Linked DNA regions of Drosophila melanogaster. The gene in region 1 interacts genetically with each later gene. Each region holds a gene or a part of one and is shown on either strand. Other genes may lie near its edges. The genes, in order: Pi3K68D, hemo, Mp and Sbf.

Region 1 (4,618 bases):
GATTTCAACGAGGACCGGGAGCTACACGTTAATTACAACATTGAGGCTGCTTACCAGTATTGTCGTTTAGCAGGGGATCGAATGCCTCCAGCACACTCACACGGGAGCTGCAAAGCAGGATGTTTGAATGTTAAAAACACGAACTAATCATTTCTGAACACTAGTGGATACATACTAGTCCTCGTGGTTGAGGTCGATCAAATCGTTGCCCCTGCGTGGGACCGAGGAATGACCATTGTTTCCAGTGTGGCTACTAGAGCTAACCCCGACAGTCGAGGGCACTTGGCGACGCGCTGGGAAGGCTACTCCATTGGCCTCTGCGGGGGAGGAAGTGGAATGGTTGGACGGTTGGCTGTGATGATGACTTGTTGTCGGTGCTGTTTGTTGGGGAGCTGGTTGCGATTGGGGTCGACGCAAATCCATGTGCGTGTAAGCACCTCCAAAGCCATATCCCTGTGCGGGATACTGCGGCGGCATAAAAGCAGCCGATCCGGGAACAATGGGAGCCGTGTATGGAGTAACCACAGCTCCGGGATAGTACATATAGGCGTTTGGCTGCGGCACTGGAACCACGGCCATTTGAGCGGGCATGCTGTACAGCCGCTGCAGCTCCTCGCTGTTTAGTGGCCTCTGTTGCTGAGCAGCTGGTTGGTAAGGCACCAACTGCAGGTCACCGTAAGCCGGTCCACCAACAACTCCACCTGCAACCATGCCGTACGGTGTGGGCTGAGCAGCCGTTGGACGTTGCTGATGAGGTGGAAAGCCGTATTGAGGAGGAATCGAAGCCGACGCAACTGGACCCATTGGCACCAGGGCCGACTGCGGATTGGTCGGCTGCATCCGCTGCAGATCCTCTATAAGTTTGCCAAAGGGACTGCTACTCTCTGGCTGCTTGCTGGTGGGACTTGCGAAGCAGATCAGATCGTTATCCGTTCCCTGGGCCGGCGGTGTGCGCGATCGTTCCGCATTCTCCGGACTGATGGCCACCTGATGCACCTCCGAGTGCCGTCGTGGTTGATGTAGGCTCTGACTACGTTGCGCCGCCTGGTAATCTCGGCCAGCAACGGTGGAGCTTTGCTGATACCCGGAGCCGTACTTCTTGTTTCGCCTGTAGTCATCGAGGGCATGCTGCTCTAGACTCAGGGCGGTCGCCTTGGCCAGGTCATCCTGGAATTGTTTGTCGTAGTCGATATGCGCTTGATTTGACATTATCCCCTCGTCTAAAGCGTCCGGTCCGTTGAGCTGCGAATGGGAACCAGAACAAAATGTGAGCGATTTCCAAATTTTGTTAAAATTATTTTCGTATTTTCTCTTCCAATGCCTATTTGTTGTTGAACAAAGGTGTTTGCTTTTGGGATTGCTTATCTCTGCGATAACGAACAGGCGGTGATAAAAGTGATTATGCAGTGTAAATGGCAATGGTACTATATGAGTACCTGGACGAAGAACAGGTGAGATAGCATTCGATGGGGGGAAGACCACTTGCGACAGAGTGGGGGTGCCTATCACTAGTTTTTTTTTTTTAAGTTGCAAAGGAATATTCGCGATCGATAATGAGCCGTCATTAGCGGGCACCAATGATTCAGAAATTCAGAAAATAGGGGAGAACAGATTGATCGCTTTATTAGATTTGTAAGCTTCGAAATGGTTAAAAGGATATGACAACTGCATTTAAAACGTAATTACAAGGATTTGTGATAGCCAGGGCAGGGACAGGAATTAATTTTATATTTTAAAAAATATCAACTTCTAATAGAAAAGTTCGAACATCATTATGCAAGCATGATATTAAGTATGATTAGCAGAGTTTCGACATTCGGTACAAACATCAGCAAAACATTTTATCTTATTGTTTGTACATACAAATGTGGTAAATACTTGTGTACTTTGCACATAGAAACCATATCCAAGCGCTCCAAATTTGCGATTGCGATACAGCAGAGTGGCGCAAAAAGGCGCAATTGAGTGCGCGATTGTAAATAAATATATAAAAACAAACAAAAGCGGCGGCATCAATTTGCGTGAATGAATGCTGCGAGTACTGATTTCCCAGATTTTACACATATATACGAATATATGCAATATAAACGTATATATATATGTCAGCATGTAAGCGTTTTGATTTTTTCCCCATTGAAGCCAATCTCGTATGCAGATAGGAAACAGCTGTTTAATATAAACACACCCACAAAAGCACTAGTGTGTGTGTGAGTCCGTGTCGCGAACGGGGACGGAATGGAAGATAAGAAAATGCGAACCGGCTAGGAATAGGAAGCGAGGAAGAGAGAGCAAAAGAGAGGGTTCCGTGCGGCAAAGGTTAAGGTAAATCAATAGATTGCGAAAAAATTTTTAAAAACAATATTCATAAACAATAAATGAACCCAATTGAATGCCAATTTATTCCGGAGAACGTAAGAATAAAATTTAAAAAAAACGAATATCGGTGGAAGGGCGAAAGAAAATAATAATGGAGATAGTCATTAATATGCAGACTTGACTTCTGCTTTGTGATTCTCATCCGCATATTGCCAACTTACTTGCTTTTTGAGGTGTCACCTCCGCTGCTTTTTACACCCGTTGCTAGTCTCTTTTTGGTTGAGGTTTTCCCTTGACGGGGCTACGAACATAGACCATCCGGTTAATAGTTTTACACTTTTATCCTCGGTTGTTGTTATATTTGACGAATCACAATTAATTTAAACTTAACCAAAGGTTTTTTTTTTGTTTTTAGGAGAGTTGTTTTATCCTCCTACACACCTAAACACCTACACACATACATGCGAAACGACCATACACAAACACGAACAGAAAACAGTGACAAAAAACGGAATAGACGCAACACCAAAATACTGAACAAAACGTTATTTTCTTAGATTTTCTTGCACCATCACATATTATGTACAAATCAGTTAATTTACAATAAAAAAAAAACAATTATCTTGTGCGCAAGAACTTTAAACACGAACAGCACGAAATAACACAAAACGGAATGCAACAAGCAGTAGCGATGGTAAACGAATCGATATTGTTTGGCAACTATCGATGAAAGATACATCGAACAGATGTTTGAGTATTGGCTAATCATGTAGCCGGGTTTCACTCCATCAATTCAAATTTATTGAGTTTCTAACGAATAACAAAATACTTAACTTTCGAGCGATATGTAATCTTGTATCTTCATAGTTTGTTTATAAAACTTATACTAATTGCCAAGTAATACATTTATTTATCTCAGTTGTTATTATTTGTGCTTCCACAAATTTTTCCACAATATCTACATAAATGCTTCGTCCACATTCAGGCCGTGATCCATGGCCACCTTGGAGTCGTCGTCCAGCCCACCAGCTAACGTCAATAGATAGTCGGGATCATCGATTGAACTACTGGGGGGCGCATTGTACATCCTGCGGTAGGAGGCTTCGATGTTTTCGTCCAGCATTCGATCCACAATGTCACTCTGGACCTGTCCCGGTTCCTGGGACATTTTAAGCAGCAGCTCCGCATGACTGGGTGTCACTTGAGGCAGTTGAAGATCGGTGGCTGCTGTGGGATTTACATTTGCCCTTCGCTGGGCGATTTCCGCCGATTCCGCACCCATTTTGCAGATTGCACACCTGCTGCGAGAAATCTGCTTCTTCAGATTGACCAAAGCCATACGATCCTGCGCCACCAGCATTCGTTCGTGGGCCAGCTGTGCCTCCTTTTCCGCGATTTCCTGGGCCCGCTTGGCCATGACCTTAAGCTTGGCCTGGAGCAGCTGGTCCGCCTCCCTAGCCTTCTGCTCGGCCAAGTGTTGGCGACTAGTGGCTAGGCGGTAGGCGCCGGTGGCTTGGCCCAGTTCGTCCTCCTTGAGATTTAGGGCGTGCTCCTTATCCAGAAGATGGCGCTTGCGCTGCTCCATTTCGCGCTGCAGCTTGTGGTAGCGATCCCGCTCCTCATCCGCCCGCCGAATGGCTTCGCGTGCCACCTGCAGTTGGGCCTCCAGTTCCCGGCGATCTCTGTCTGGGTCGCCGTGCTCATTGAGCTGTTGTCTTAGTTCAATCTGCTGGCGTTCCACTGTCAGTTGATTGCGCTCCTCCTGGAGATCGTGGTGCAGTCGTTCCATTTCCGCAAGCTGCAGTGCTTTAAGATCCTCCACACGCTTCTCGTCCCGCTGCATTTGCTCGCGATGGAATTCTTTTTCGCGCTCGAAAGCCTTGCGCTCCGCTTCCAAGCTGGACATTCGTTGACGGAGCTGCCAGTTCTCTTCGGCTGACTCCTTGGACAAACGGCCCAGCTGCAGCTCCAAGGTGCTCACCAGTTCCATCAGGCGGCGCTTCTCATCGTCGGCCGTCTCCTCGTCCATCTTTAGACGCCTTTCCTGGTCGGCCAGGCGACGTTCTCGCGCCTCCAACTGCCGTTCCCTTTCCTGGTTGTCACTCATCCCGTCACGAAGTTCTTGAAGATTGCTGGACGCCAGACGCAATGTGTCCAGATAATTTCCATGATCCTGCACCGCCGACAACTCCACCATTTTAGCCTGACGAATACCCTCGAGGTCCAGCTCGTGGGATTGACGCAGCTTGCGCACCTCATCCTCATGATCTTGTCGCAGGCTGGAAATCTGCTCCACATAGTC
Region 2 (3,297 bases), on another chromosome or scaffold:
TACTTCTAAATGAGTTACCTTCAATTTGCTTTGTTTTAAAGCTCACTTTACACTTTGGCCACTTAATTCGCTTAATTTAATTTCCCTTATTACCTGTGACGACTTCGTTGCCGGGATGTGAATGAAAATGTCATTTATTAGCGCATCTCGTCCTGCCACCGAGGACCATCAAAACCGCCGTGCAGCTCTAAATTTTGCAGGTCGTGAAAGGAAACGTCAGCGAAGATGCATAGCCAAGTTTTTGGCTAAATTTATGGCCCGTCGTAAGCAACCAACAACTCTCAAAATACACCCATCCAAAACACACACACACACCCACAGACATCACGTTTTCACCTTAAGTTGTACTTAAAGGTACTTCGTTCCTGCCGTGAACTCATCAAACATTTTATTACACAACAGGCAACTCTTTTTTTATGGTTGCGATCCGAGCGGAGACATATAAAAACACTGGTATTCAGATACAGAATGAATCATTCATAACCGATTGTAAACAAGGCGACATCATGTCAGTGACTAGTGTGCATTTTACATTCATTTCGTTTTCAATACACGTTTTATTTACTTTTCGTTATCTTATTTCTGGGAAAGAATTAATAATATAAATATTAATATTTGCGATAATCATATGTCGTTATAGATTTATTTAACACAGAAATATCATTAACTGATTTTTCATAGATTATTTAATTAGAAAATCGTTTAAACATTATCTTATATAATAGATACCGTAACTAAACAATTTTTTTTTAAAGCTTGGCATTTATTATTATTTTTACAAAGGTTTAAAAAAAACGCTTCTCGCAGTGCAGTGATTCACATGAACTTAACTTTGTCAATAGACTTGCAGTCGTTCCACAGAGATATCGTCTGGCAAAGTAGGCGTGGCTTCACGCCCCCGCGATCTACGACACTCGCGGACATTCAGATACCAGTAGTAGAAGTACATGAATACCATCAATATGAAGACCGGTCCGCAGATGAAGTAGGACAAGTGAATTTGACTGTCAGTCATCGTGATGCACTGTCCAAAAAATAAACTAGTTCAAATCCTCACTTTCGATAGCCACTCGTTTATGTCTTGAGCATAATCTTAAGTTTAAAGATTGAAGATTAAAGCATCGCTGAAGTGTTTAATGATTTATCTACAAAGCTAGGATTTTAATAGATATCAACGCTATTCCGGCTGTGCGTTAGCTTCGTGGTGGCCACCATTGAGCATCCGGGCGTGATGGATATGCGACTCAGTGGCAGTGGCAACTGGGCTTGCTGCTCCTCGATGCGAGCTGTTCGACGATCGCGGATCCACTGATAGCCGTGATAACAATAGCAACACAACGTAAGTGCAATTGTAGCTACGGCGGGAATCAGCAGTAAGGGATTGATTTCCGATTGAAATACAACTTCGAAAACTTTAAAACAATCCATGTTGCAAGCGACGTTCGATGTGCGGATGGGGAAATATAACTAAATAGCGAGGAACCCTTAAATGTTTGGCATTTGCGTTCAAATGGCGATTTATTTTCTCCAAATACACACAGAGAAATTATATTGGGCTAATAATTATTACATTCTGAATTTCTTGGTAAATATTTATATAGTTTCTCTATCAATTGTTTTTGAAATAATTACTAAAATATTAATCATGGTCATTATTTGAATTTTCACAATGATTTAATTTAAAAACCAAAATTTTTTCTCTGCAGAACTTTATTCTCTCTCCCTCAAAAATGCAGATAAAACGCTATTAATACTCGCAGCGGATTTGAGTTCTTATCCGATTTTTTTCGTATTTCCGAATGATTTTATCGGTTTGAAATATTAAATTATTCATTCACTTTCATTTTACTAACTGACTAGCTTTAATTTTATTTATTACTTTATTATGAAGCACTTTACTTTCTTAGTGAACTTTGTGTACTATGCCTGTTTGTGATCCACATGCACTCGAGTTGGTGGATAAGCCAGAAGCTTGAATGAATCATGCAAGGGCGCCAAGGTCCCATCTCATTGTTGTTTTCTTCGTCTCATTCCGCTGATGACGATGCCCTCCGGGGATTCTCCAGAATCTGGGGACCATTGCAAATAGAACTGCTAGCTAGACAAACATATAGAACTCCAGGGGAACGCGTCGGCGGCGTCCAGACGCAGCTCAATTCAAACTTTGAAATTGTGCCTTGCTGTGTTGACTGCGAGTGCTGCTGACATTTGATGCTTTATGATGGAGTAAGAACCAAAAAACAAGCAGCACAAAAATGGATGGATATATGCCAAATCGCAGCAACACCTCGACATCTGCCGCATTCCACACACCCACAGACTGATGAGCAAAGTTTGCTTTTAATTTAAAATTTCGCCGCAGAAAAGTAGAGCCAGTTTTTTTTTGGTTTTTTCACACTAAAGATGCTGAGATATTGTGGGTTTTAAGCAAATAAACAATAAATGTGTGGTGTTAGCACTTAATTAATTTCATTAAGGAACTTCGAAAGGGAGCCTTAAAATATTTTAAAGGTGCCACAAAAACATTTCCTACACATCGAACCGAATAGGAATTCTTTCAAAACAAGAAAATAAGTTGCAGTTCATGCATTGAAAATCCTTTTGTATTGCTTAAAATTCTTTCGGTGAAATAAAATTGTTTTTTACCAACTATGTTCGAGGTTCGAAAATAATCGAGGCAGTTGGGGCGTAAGTTTGCAAGCGTAACAAACACACTGACCAAAAAAAAAAAAAAAAAAAAACACTCACAACGCACACAGAATGGATATTTCTCATTCAATTTCGCAGGTGTTTGACTCCATGTCGAAGGTGGCTCCAAATGGAGAAGGAGTGGGAAAGCCTTTGTCGATTTGAGGCGAACGTGGTTTGGTTTGTTTCGTTTCGATTCGATTCGGTTGGCATTTAAGCGGATTTTCAAACGCATCCGAAATGTGCAAATGGAACAGATACTTCGGTAGATACTTTGATCCACAAGGGCTTAAATGAAGATAGTGATGTTAATATAGTCATATTGACTGAATTTGAACTCGATATCAAGGCAGCTGAATTCAATACTATGAAAAGCACTTATTTAACATAAAGTAAATTAAAGTTATATCAGTTATTACTTAACAGAAGAAAAGTTTATAATAAAGTGCTGTAAGCTGTGCTTGTTATATTAAAGCCTTGTAATTCCAGGCCCGCATTTAGCATTACAAGTGATATTTGTTTGCTTTATGTTGCCCGTTTGGCGTCCTGTGTCCCCAAAAACCCCACACATTTTCCACCACAAATCCACTTTTATCGTATGCGAACGTG
Region 3 (4,567 bases), 4.8 Mb from region 1:
CAGTTCAAGTGCACATGGCCAACATGAGCTGCGATGCTGCGATGCTGTGATGCTGCTTGAATAAACAATTGGCGGGCTTTGGGCAGTCGGCGTGCAAACAACGCGACTCTTGTGGCAGAAAATGGTCGAGGGGGGGGGGGTGTTTGGGGAATACCCCCATCCAAAAGGGGAAGGGCCGGGTGGAGACAACACGTTGCAAGTTCGATAAATGGCCGGCTCTTTAAAATAAAGTTTGCTTGCAATGGCTTTCTGATAAGGCTGACAAAATTACGCATACGCCGCATGTGCCCGCGTCGCAGTCGACGTCGACGGCGCTCTCTTTCTCTGCCAACACACACACGCGCTCTCTCTCTCTCTCTCTTTCTCTCTGGCTCTTTTCCTCTCTCAATTTTTTTTTGCCCAACAACTTGTATGAATGTGTTTTCAGTTTTTCCGGCTTTTTTGAGTTTTGAGCCTTTCGAGCCTTTTGCGATTCAACTATATCAACTGCTTTTCAATTTATTTATAGAATTTCAAATGAGGCGCCGGTGCGTAGTTGTTGCTGGAAAATTATGCTTAGTTTTATTACGTATAAATAATTAAGACGGCCAACTTGCCACAGCACATGTGGGACCAGGGGCATGTGTTCACTATGTTTTCCCGCCCCTCCAAAAATTTGTCGACTTCTTCGCACTTGTAGCCTTATCACTTTCCTATGGCCCACGTACCTTTCAAAGCCGCTTGGGAACTAATTTGCGCTGCTGTCCTGCCCGCTTTCCCTTGCCAAAGTTAAACGAAAGTGTTGCCCCGTATGGTTCGTCTCTCCAGTTGGCCCTATTTATAGCCAAGTGGTCGGTGCAAAGACGACAGCAGGGAGAAGTCGGAAAATGCTGAAGCCATAAGCACCTGCAGTCGCTGCACCTTGCAGCGGAAAATTGCCGCTTTGATTTGGCTTGCAGGAAATTCGCGTTACTGGAAATATTGTTCATAAAACGGTTTATGATATCATGTATACCGCCAGTTATATCGAGTGAGAATCATAAATTCTAGAAATTCAAATTTCTTTGAAAAGAAACTAAGAATAATGCTTATCAGTTTTTTGTTGAAAATATTGTTTTCGGAAGTACAACTATCGTTGGTTTTTTGTTAAATATAATTAATTCAATTTAATTTCATTTCATTTCCGCAATTTTGCTCATCGTACACAACGTTTAGGATACTCGTAGAAAGTCAATTAAATTCGTTCAGTTTGCACCTCAAATATTGGCTCAGCAAAACAAAATTGCACTAGCTGTTTACTAAATCGAAAACTCGATTTAAATTCATTTAAATTTAAAAGTTATCTACCATTTCGAGTGCCTTAAAACAATGCTTTTAATTGCATTTCGAATTTCGCGTTCCATTAGTATCTGTATAGGTATCAGCGACAAAAGTATCTGCCAAAATGTATTTACCATAGACGGCAAACGGTAGCATTTTGATTTCGGCATTCTCCCGCTGCCGACTGCGCTGCCAGCTGCTCTGCCGGCTGCCAGCTTTTCAGGCCTCAGTCTCAGTCTCAGTCTGAACGCTGAACGGAGCGCATCGCAGGGCACCCACACGCGAATTGAGTGCCGGCCACAACGAAGCGTGCTCCCCTGCGAAACGAAAAACATACAACTCGCGAATTTGCCGGCTGAGATTGGTACACTGCGAAATAAAACGAGATTGTGCGTTAAATGAAAGAAGAAAAAAAAAACGTAGCTTGAAAATATTAAAAATATTCATAGAAAAAGTGCATTAAAAATACAATTTTAAAGCGTTTTAAATAAACTCGTAGACTTCAGCGTACTAAAACCAAACACACTGAACAAATTGTGCTAATAAACATACATTTTAAGAGTCGTAAACAATTTTAATCAACAAAAAGTCACATAATTTATATTTCATATTAATGTCAATTATTTTTGATAAAGCTTTTGATGTAGAGGCAAACTTTTAATGAACGCAAAATATATACCGCTTCGATTTCTTTCTTAAAACATTTCAGACAAGCAAACCGTGAATCTTGAACACTCATTTTTTATGAAAAAAAGACAAATTAAATTTTCAGTGCACTTTTGATTGCGAAACTTAGTTGTCCCCCACAGCCGATCGGTCCACTTTGTGTTTTGTGTTCAGAAATCCTTCGGGCTGCCTTTGTGGCTCCTGCTTTGTGCCATTATTGGATTGGACAATGACTGGCCAATGTCAATGCCATCTCGAATGACCAATCATTGTCTGCCCATTTGGTCACTTCCATTGATCTTCCCCAAGTACACCCCTTTATAAATCCCCGTTTTGTTCCCCCGTTTTGTGTAGTGTAGTGAATTACAAGAACGGAATAACCGAGAGTATATATATAGAAAAGGAAGCCGGGGCTCAAAAGAAAAGTGTCCGAAGGCTTTGTGAAAAGTGTCCTGCTGCTGGAAACTGTCGCCCGAAACTATGCAGCAGTGAAAAAGGCCCACTTCCGCCAGGAAATACGTGGAAATATTCAGTGCCATTCAGCTGGAGACTGAGGTAAGTCCGCCCAACTATTTTTAAGCGATTACCCTTTGATGGTCACGTAAATGGGTGTACGTCCAAAAATTCCATATTGCCCAACAAATCCACTTGAAGTCGGACATTCGTAATGATAATTGCAAGTGCGGGAAATGCATTTTCGCTTGTGGTAATCTCGGCCAACGATTAGCTTTGCTTTTATTTACTTATTAAATAACATTTAGTTTTTCTCCATTTCTGCCGATATCATAATCGACCCATTCATGACGACAAACAAAATAGCCGACAAACAAACAAAGCAAAAACAACGGCAATGAACTGAAAATTAACTATGCATATTTGCGCAGCTCATTAATAAATATAACTAAGAGTCTATTGGTTTAAAAGAAGAAGCAATATTCGGCTTTTGGTTTGCCCTTGACGGATTTATTTGGCCATCTGTTGGCTCAAATATTGGCAGTATGTCTGCAATCTTGATTTAAAATCATACAAAATGTTTGCACATTATATTCACGTTTAAGGGTACTGACTTACGGATAAGTCAGCACTTCTGAAAATAACTATTGATTTGCTTACATAAAAGGAAATATAAAGGGTTATAATGCTAAAGAAAACCAACAACTCATTCTAATTTATGCCTAAAGAAAAGAACATTTAAATGTTTCTATTGCTGCAAAGTTTCTTTTAAAGTTTTCCCTATACCATCTGCAGTTTTTCTTTGCCTATCTTTATATTTTTTTTTTAGCTTCAATATTTTGTCGGCATTAGGAGTTCCCACATTAATGATCTTTCAACAGCATTATGTCGATGAAGTCTGCGATGGAGCAGCGGAAATTGAAGCTGTCGACGGGGCTAGTCAATAAGTCAACTTATTCGCCTGCGAATTTCGCGATTTATGGGGCCCAGCTTTATATATAAATACATACCTAAAGCGCGATAATTGCATATTGCAATCATGTCGAAATAAACTTGTAATTATTGCATATAAATCTTGAGTGAGAGCTGTCGCATGACTGCGAATCTATAATTATTCCATGGGTGGCTTCTGTGACAGTTTGAGTTTTCTGGTGAAATATTTGAAATATATTGAAGCATGAAGTGCATCCAAATTGCATCAGTTACAGGAAAAAATTTGACCTCCCTAAGTAATTGGTTTTTTGAAGACTTATTGCTTAATGGTAACGCACTGCATGATATGCATGGAAAATGTTGTATTTAAATTTTAAGATATTCAATCATTGAACTTTGAGAATATTCTAGTTTTTTTTGAATTTTTACCCACCGGTATCAAGTACGATTTTTTTTCATTTCCATGCGGACTGACCTAGCTTGTCCTAATTAAATGACAAATGCCCCGAATTTGGCAGGGAAAAAAGTTGTGACAGCAAACATTTTTGCCGCACATTTGTGTTAACATTCGTGGGCTTGACTGTTGAAAGTTTCCCCTTTTGTTGCGATTTTGTTGCCACTGTGTGACGACTCTAATTCACGGCAACAGCAACCGGCAGCGACAACTGGCCGAAAAGCAAATGTACTTTGATGTAATACACATAAACATTTGCAAAGGGGGTAATGTCAGCAGTATAAGTTACAAAAAACTCGGCAAAACAAGAGGAAAAAAATATGCCTAAAAATATGGTAGTAGGCTTCGTTGATGAAACTAGAACAATGTGTGCCATTTTGAGATTCCGTAGCGAAAACAAATATAAATCTTCATGAGTCAGTCGCAGCGAAACAAGTACGACTTTTCACTAAAAAAGCAATAAATGCAAACATGTAGAAATTAATTAAAATTGGCTACAAATTTGCATGTGACCCCCACACACCCACACCCCTCGATGTCGTCATATTTTTTTGTTTTTTGTTGCCACTTTGCAGTGACTCAGGCATAAAAGTGAGTGAACAATCGCCGATGTGATAACTGGAGGAACTTACGTCTCAATTAGGTCACTTGTGAATGGTAGTGCGCGATTTTCGTTCGATTCGCGCACTTGCAAAATATTTAAATTAGAAACATGCCCAGTATCCGCACAACTTGTTGCCTCATAAATGCCGCATACTCGCA
Region 4 (4,674 bases), on another chromosome or scaffold:
GTTTAAAATATCTATCTATACATAATTTTGTAATCTCAAGATTAATGTTTAAAAAGCCTGCCGAGAAAGATTTCACGGATAAAGCATTATCAAATAATGGAGATAGTTCAAAGCAATCACCGAGCATTAAATTCAAAGCAAATAAAGTGGCAGATGTAAATAGATCTCCTCAGACGGCCAAGAGGTGCTCGAAAATAAGGTTTGCTAACGAAGTTGGAGTAAATGGTTCGCCCACTCGAACGAAATGTAAAATAAAACCAGAAAATGTATTGGGTTACTCTATAGAGGATGTGGATGAAACAACAAATCCAGAATCGCTGGCTGAGGTATGTAAAACTGATGCAAACTTTTGATTAATATCTATTGTCAACGAGCTTACAACGCATTATGAATCATTAACTCTCAAAGTTAACATACACATTTTCTCTCCTATCTTGTAAATCCCAAATAAGAGCATTCAAAAGCCGAAGTCGGTGCGATTGGTACGTTTAGAATATTTTAATTACATAACCCCTTATTTCAATCAAGATATAATATCTACCGATTTGATTGATTTACAGCCCAGGGAACGTGTTATTGACATGTCACCGGAGGATCAGAAGCAATGGGAGCTCGAGGAAATGTTGAAGCCCATCGATTTGCAGAAGGCCAATGTCCACATCGATCCCTCGCCATTTCAGCTGGTGGAACGCACCTCCATACTCAAGGTTCACTCGTTGTTTTCCATGGTGGGTATTAACCACGCCTATGTCACCAAAATCGGAAGACTTGTTGGTGTCGTGGGACTCAAAGAAGTAAGTCTTGTTTGATATCCTTGATGATTATAACAATAACACATGTTTTATTAAACAGTTGCGAAAAGCCATCGAGGACATTAATAGCAATAGTTTCGTGCCCCCCACACGGGATGAGGATGCGGATGAGAAGCCGGCGGTGGAGAAACCTCTGCTGTCGACGAACTCTAGTGATAAGGCCGTGGACATGACCGTCACCTCCATGGACTCGGCACTATCCAATTCCGAGAACTGTTCGGACATTGAAATGGAGCACATAAAGCACACGGATAAGGGCACTGTATCGCTCACCATGCCGCCACAGGAATCTAAGCAAAGTCCATCGGCGGACAAAAGTAACACAGAAAACGGAAATCATGCTTGAAACAAGATGATCGGCCATCATAATAGTTAATACGATACGTATACGTAATATGTTTGTAAAGATCAGCTAAACACATCTATCTTAAGTTACGTCTTACACGAGTTAGTCATCAATGTTATTATGTATTTATATCTCGTTAGTTCATAATGTGAAAAATATCGTGATTTATATTTAAGTTGAAAAGAAAATCAAGTCACCAACGAAGGCTGCGTTTGATTTTTATTTATATACTGGGGAGTATTAATGTAGTATACAAGTTTCCTATTTTTCCAACAGATTAATTATATTATAATTTCCCCAAAATTGTTTAATGAATATTTAAGGCTAAGTGGAAATTAATTTTGCCATTTTCCAATTGATCTTTTAAGTTCGCGCCGATTAATTTGTAGCGCAGTCCGAAACTATCGATACATTCAAAGCGCCAATCAAATATCGACACATTCAATCAGCTGATGCAGAAAGTGTTGGATAATTCGTGAAAATTATTGTGTATTGCATCTATCTTTTTCTATGCGAACTTAAAAATAATTATTATAGCCCCGAATTCTTTGAGATTTGCTGGCAGTTAGCGGGGATTTCGGCTGCAGCCGGCTGCGAGGTGTGTGCGCGGATATATATATATAGATTGGCCAGTCCGATTCCCGGCGAACGATCCCACTTTGCGTGGCGGGGTGTGGTTAAAGAAAAAAGAGTGAAGACCAAGACTCGTAAAGCCTGAAAAACGCCTCCGGGCGCTATAGACAATACAATAACAATTCGGCCCCTCGATCTCCGTGGAGCTAATCATTTATGCCGAGCGCAGAGACGGAGCCTAATTAGCATATCAAATTGGATGACGGCACTGGCGAATAGAATCCATCTGCCGCTGTCCCCTGCTACAAGAACGCAACAGAACAAAAACAAAAAAAAAATCAAAATAAAACATCTTCAACTCTTTGTTCTCCTAGATTTGGCTAGTAAAGAGCCGTAGGATCCTAGACGACTGGCCGGCTATGTGGTGGGCAAGATGTCCCGGCTCGCTGATTACTTCGTAATAGTCGGCTACGACAGTGATAAGGAGAGTGAGTACATCCACATGCCCATCAGCCATAATTAGCAATTCTCTGACATTCAACAATTTCCCTTTTCCCAGAAACTGCCAGCAATGTGGGCGGCCAGCCGACGTGCGGCAAGATCGTTCAGCGCTTTCCCGAGAAAGATTGGCCGGACACTCCGTTTATCGAGGGCATTGAATGGGTGGGTGCGCTTGAAACATTCCTCACTTAATTCGAAGCATATCTGAATTTTAACTTATCATTCCGACAGTTCTGCCAGCCGCTCGGCTGGAGTTTATCGTACGAGAAGCAGGAGCCCAAGTTCTTCGTCTCTGTGCTGACGGACATCGATGCCAACAAGCACTACTGCGCCTGCCTCAGCTTTCATGAGACGGTGGCCATCACACAGACGCGCAGCGTCGACGACGAGGATGAGACCATCGGCAGCAGCAGGCTGCTGGGAGCCACACCCTCATCGATGGATGGCATCACAACGACATCCACGCCGGCTTCCATTACGCACCACAGCGTCATGTATGCACCAAAGTGTCTGGTGCTTATATCGCGTTTGGACTGTGCCGAGACCTTTAAAGTGAGTTTAAAAGTCAGACCACCTAAGATACTAAATTAAGCCATTATCTTAATTTACAGAATTGTCTCGGCACCATATACACGGTGTACATTGAGAACCTGGCGTATGGATTGGAGACACTCATAGGAAACATTCTGGGCTGCATCCAAGTTCCTCCAGCGGGTGGACCGCAGGTGCGCTTCTCTATAGGAGCAGGAGACAAGCAGTCGCTCCAGCCTCCGCAGAGCTCCTCCCTGCCCACGACTGGAAGTGGAGTCCACTTCCTCTTCAAGCAGCTGGGCATCAAGAATGTGCTGATACTGCTTTGCTCCGTGATGACAGAGAACAAGATACTGTTTCTTTCTAAGTGTTATTGGCACCTGACGGACAGCTGCAGAGCTTTGGTGGCATTGATGTATCCCTTTCGGTATACTCATGTTTATATACCAATTCTGCCGGCTCCACTCACGGAAGTGTTATCCACACCTACGCCATTTATTATGGGCATACATAGCTCACTGCAAACTGAGATTACGGATTTACTGGATGTTATTGTGGTGGATTTGGATGGCGGCCTCGTTACCATTCCCGAGTCGCTGACGCCGCCTGTTCCTATTCTTCCATCACCGCTGTGGGAACAGACCCAGGACCTGCTCAGCATGATCCTGTTTCCAAACCTGGCGCAGGCCGATCTGGCGTTTCCCACATTAGAGCGGCCTTCAGCTATTGCTAAGACTGACGCCCAGATTGATAAGGAACTTCGCGCCATATTCATGCGCCTTTTCGCTCAGCTGCTGCAGGGATATCGCTCCTGCCTGACTATCATTCGGATCCACCCAAAGCCGGTGATCACCTTCCATAAGGCAGGATTTCTCGGCGCCCGCGATCTGATAGAGAGCGAATTCCTGTTTAGGGTGCTGGACAGCATGTTTTTCACGACGTTTGTCAACGAACGAGGCCCTCCCTGGCGATCCTCCGATGCCTGGGATGAGCTCTACAGCTCAATGAACGAACTGCTCAAATCGGAGGCGCAGAATCGAAATCTCGTAGGTAGAACTCAAAGATTCAAGGGATATTTTAATTTTACCTTTCCTTCCTACTTTCAGATACTCACACATATCCAGGAATTGGGACGAGTTCTATATGAAAATGAGGGCACTCTGGCTCACATCAGCTATGCCCAAAAAGTACTGCGTCCGCCGGAAGGCGCATTCCAGCGTATTCATCAACCAGCCTTTCCGCGCATAAGTTCGGAAAAGGTTGAGCTTATCATACAGGAAGGGATACGAAAGAACGGAGTGCCACAACGCTTTCATGTAACACGTAATCAGCACCGTATCATTCCGATGGGACCCAGGTTACCCGAGGCATTAGATGTGCGTCCCAATGTCCAAAACTCGGCTAGGCGACTGGAGGTGCTGCGGATCTGTGTGTCATACATCTTTGAGAATCGAATTACAGATGCCAGAAAACTGCTGCCGGCTGTGATGCGCACCCTAATGCATCGGGATGCGCGCTTGATCTTGTGCCGCGAGTTCTTTGGATATGTGCACGGCAACAAGGCAGTTCTGGACCATCAACAGTTTGAATTAGTTGTGCGATTCATGAACAAGGCGCTGCAAAAATCATCCGGCATTGATGAGTACACAGTGGCTGCGGCTCTGCTGCCCATGTCCACAATCTTCTGCCGTAAGCTCTCGACTGGAGTAGTGCAATTTGCGTACACAGAGATACAGGATCACGCCATCTGGAAAAACCTGCAATTTTGGGAGTCTACTTTCTTTCAGGATGTCCAAGGTCAAATAAAGGCGTTGTATCTGCTTCACCGACGTCAGAACGAGCATCAAAAGGAGGCCAACTGTGTGCTGGACGAAGTTCCTCTAGAGGAGCCCACGGCGCTTGAAATTACAG

The links.
Region 2: of Pi3K68D (region 1) and hemo, changing one suppresses a phenotype caused by changing the other (phenotypic suppression), as found in Drosophila melanogaster (one study listed by BioGRID).
Region 3: of Pi3K68D (region 1) and Mp, changing one enhances a phenotype caused by changing the other (phenotypic enhancement), as found in Drosophila melanogaster (one study listed by BioGRID).
Region 4: of Pi3K68D (region 1) and Sbf, changing one suppresses a phenotype caused by changing the other (phenotypic suppression), as found in Drosophila melanogaster (one study listed by BioGRID).

Annotation. Positions count from the first base shown.
Region 1 is NT_037436.4:11,787,004-11,791,621, forward strand, and holds the start of Pi3K68D (phosphatidylinositol 3-kinase 68D), read right to left. Parts: upstream 3,011-4,618; 5' UTR 2,919-3,010; exon of another isoform or gene 2,618-2,918; 5' UTR 2,538-2,617; intron 1,243-2,537; 5' UTR 1,210-1,242; coding exon 176-1,209; intron 108-175; coding exon 55-107; intron 1-54. Other genes in the region: twy (twitchy), read right to left, coding at 3,275-4,618.
Region 2 is NT_033777.3:18,563,705-18,567,001, forward strand, and holds hemo (hemotin), read right to left. Parts: upstream 1,470-3,297; 5' UTR 1,429-1,469; coding exon 1,162-1,428; 3' UTR 1,016-1,161; coding exon of another isoform or gene 836-1,015; 3' UTR 560-835; downstream 1-559. Other genes in the region: CG43210 (uncharacterized protein), read right to left, coding at 836-1,015. UniProt on the Drosophila melanogaster protein: Negatively regulates early endosome maturation by binding to and repressing the activity of 14-3-3zeta which prevents the 14-3-3zeta-mediated activation of phosphoinositide 3-kinase Pi3K68D.
Region 3 is NT_037436.4:6,997,316-7,001,882, forward strand, and holds the start of Mp (multiplexin), read left to right. Parts: upstream 1-1,527; 5' UTR 1,528-1,663; exon of another isoform or gene 1,664-1,688; intron 1,689-2,319; exon of another isoform or gene 2,320-2,324; 5' UTR 2,325-2,520; intron 2,521-4,567.
Region 4 is NT_033777.3:11,793,926-11,798,599, reverse strand, and holds the start of Sbf (SET domain binding factor), read left to right. Parts: upstream 1-1,651; 5' UTR 1,652-1,756; intron 1,757-2,105; 5' UTR 2,106-2,164; coding exon 2,165-2,219; intron 2,220-2,290; coding exon 2,291-2,394; intron 2,395-2,463; coding exon 2,464-2,784; intron 2,785-2,843; coding exon 2,844-4,674. Other genes in the region: ClC-a (chloride channel-a), read left to right, coding at 57-326, 453-482, 561-794, 853-1,158.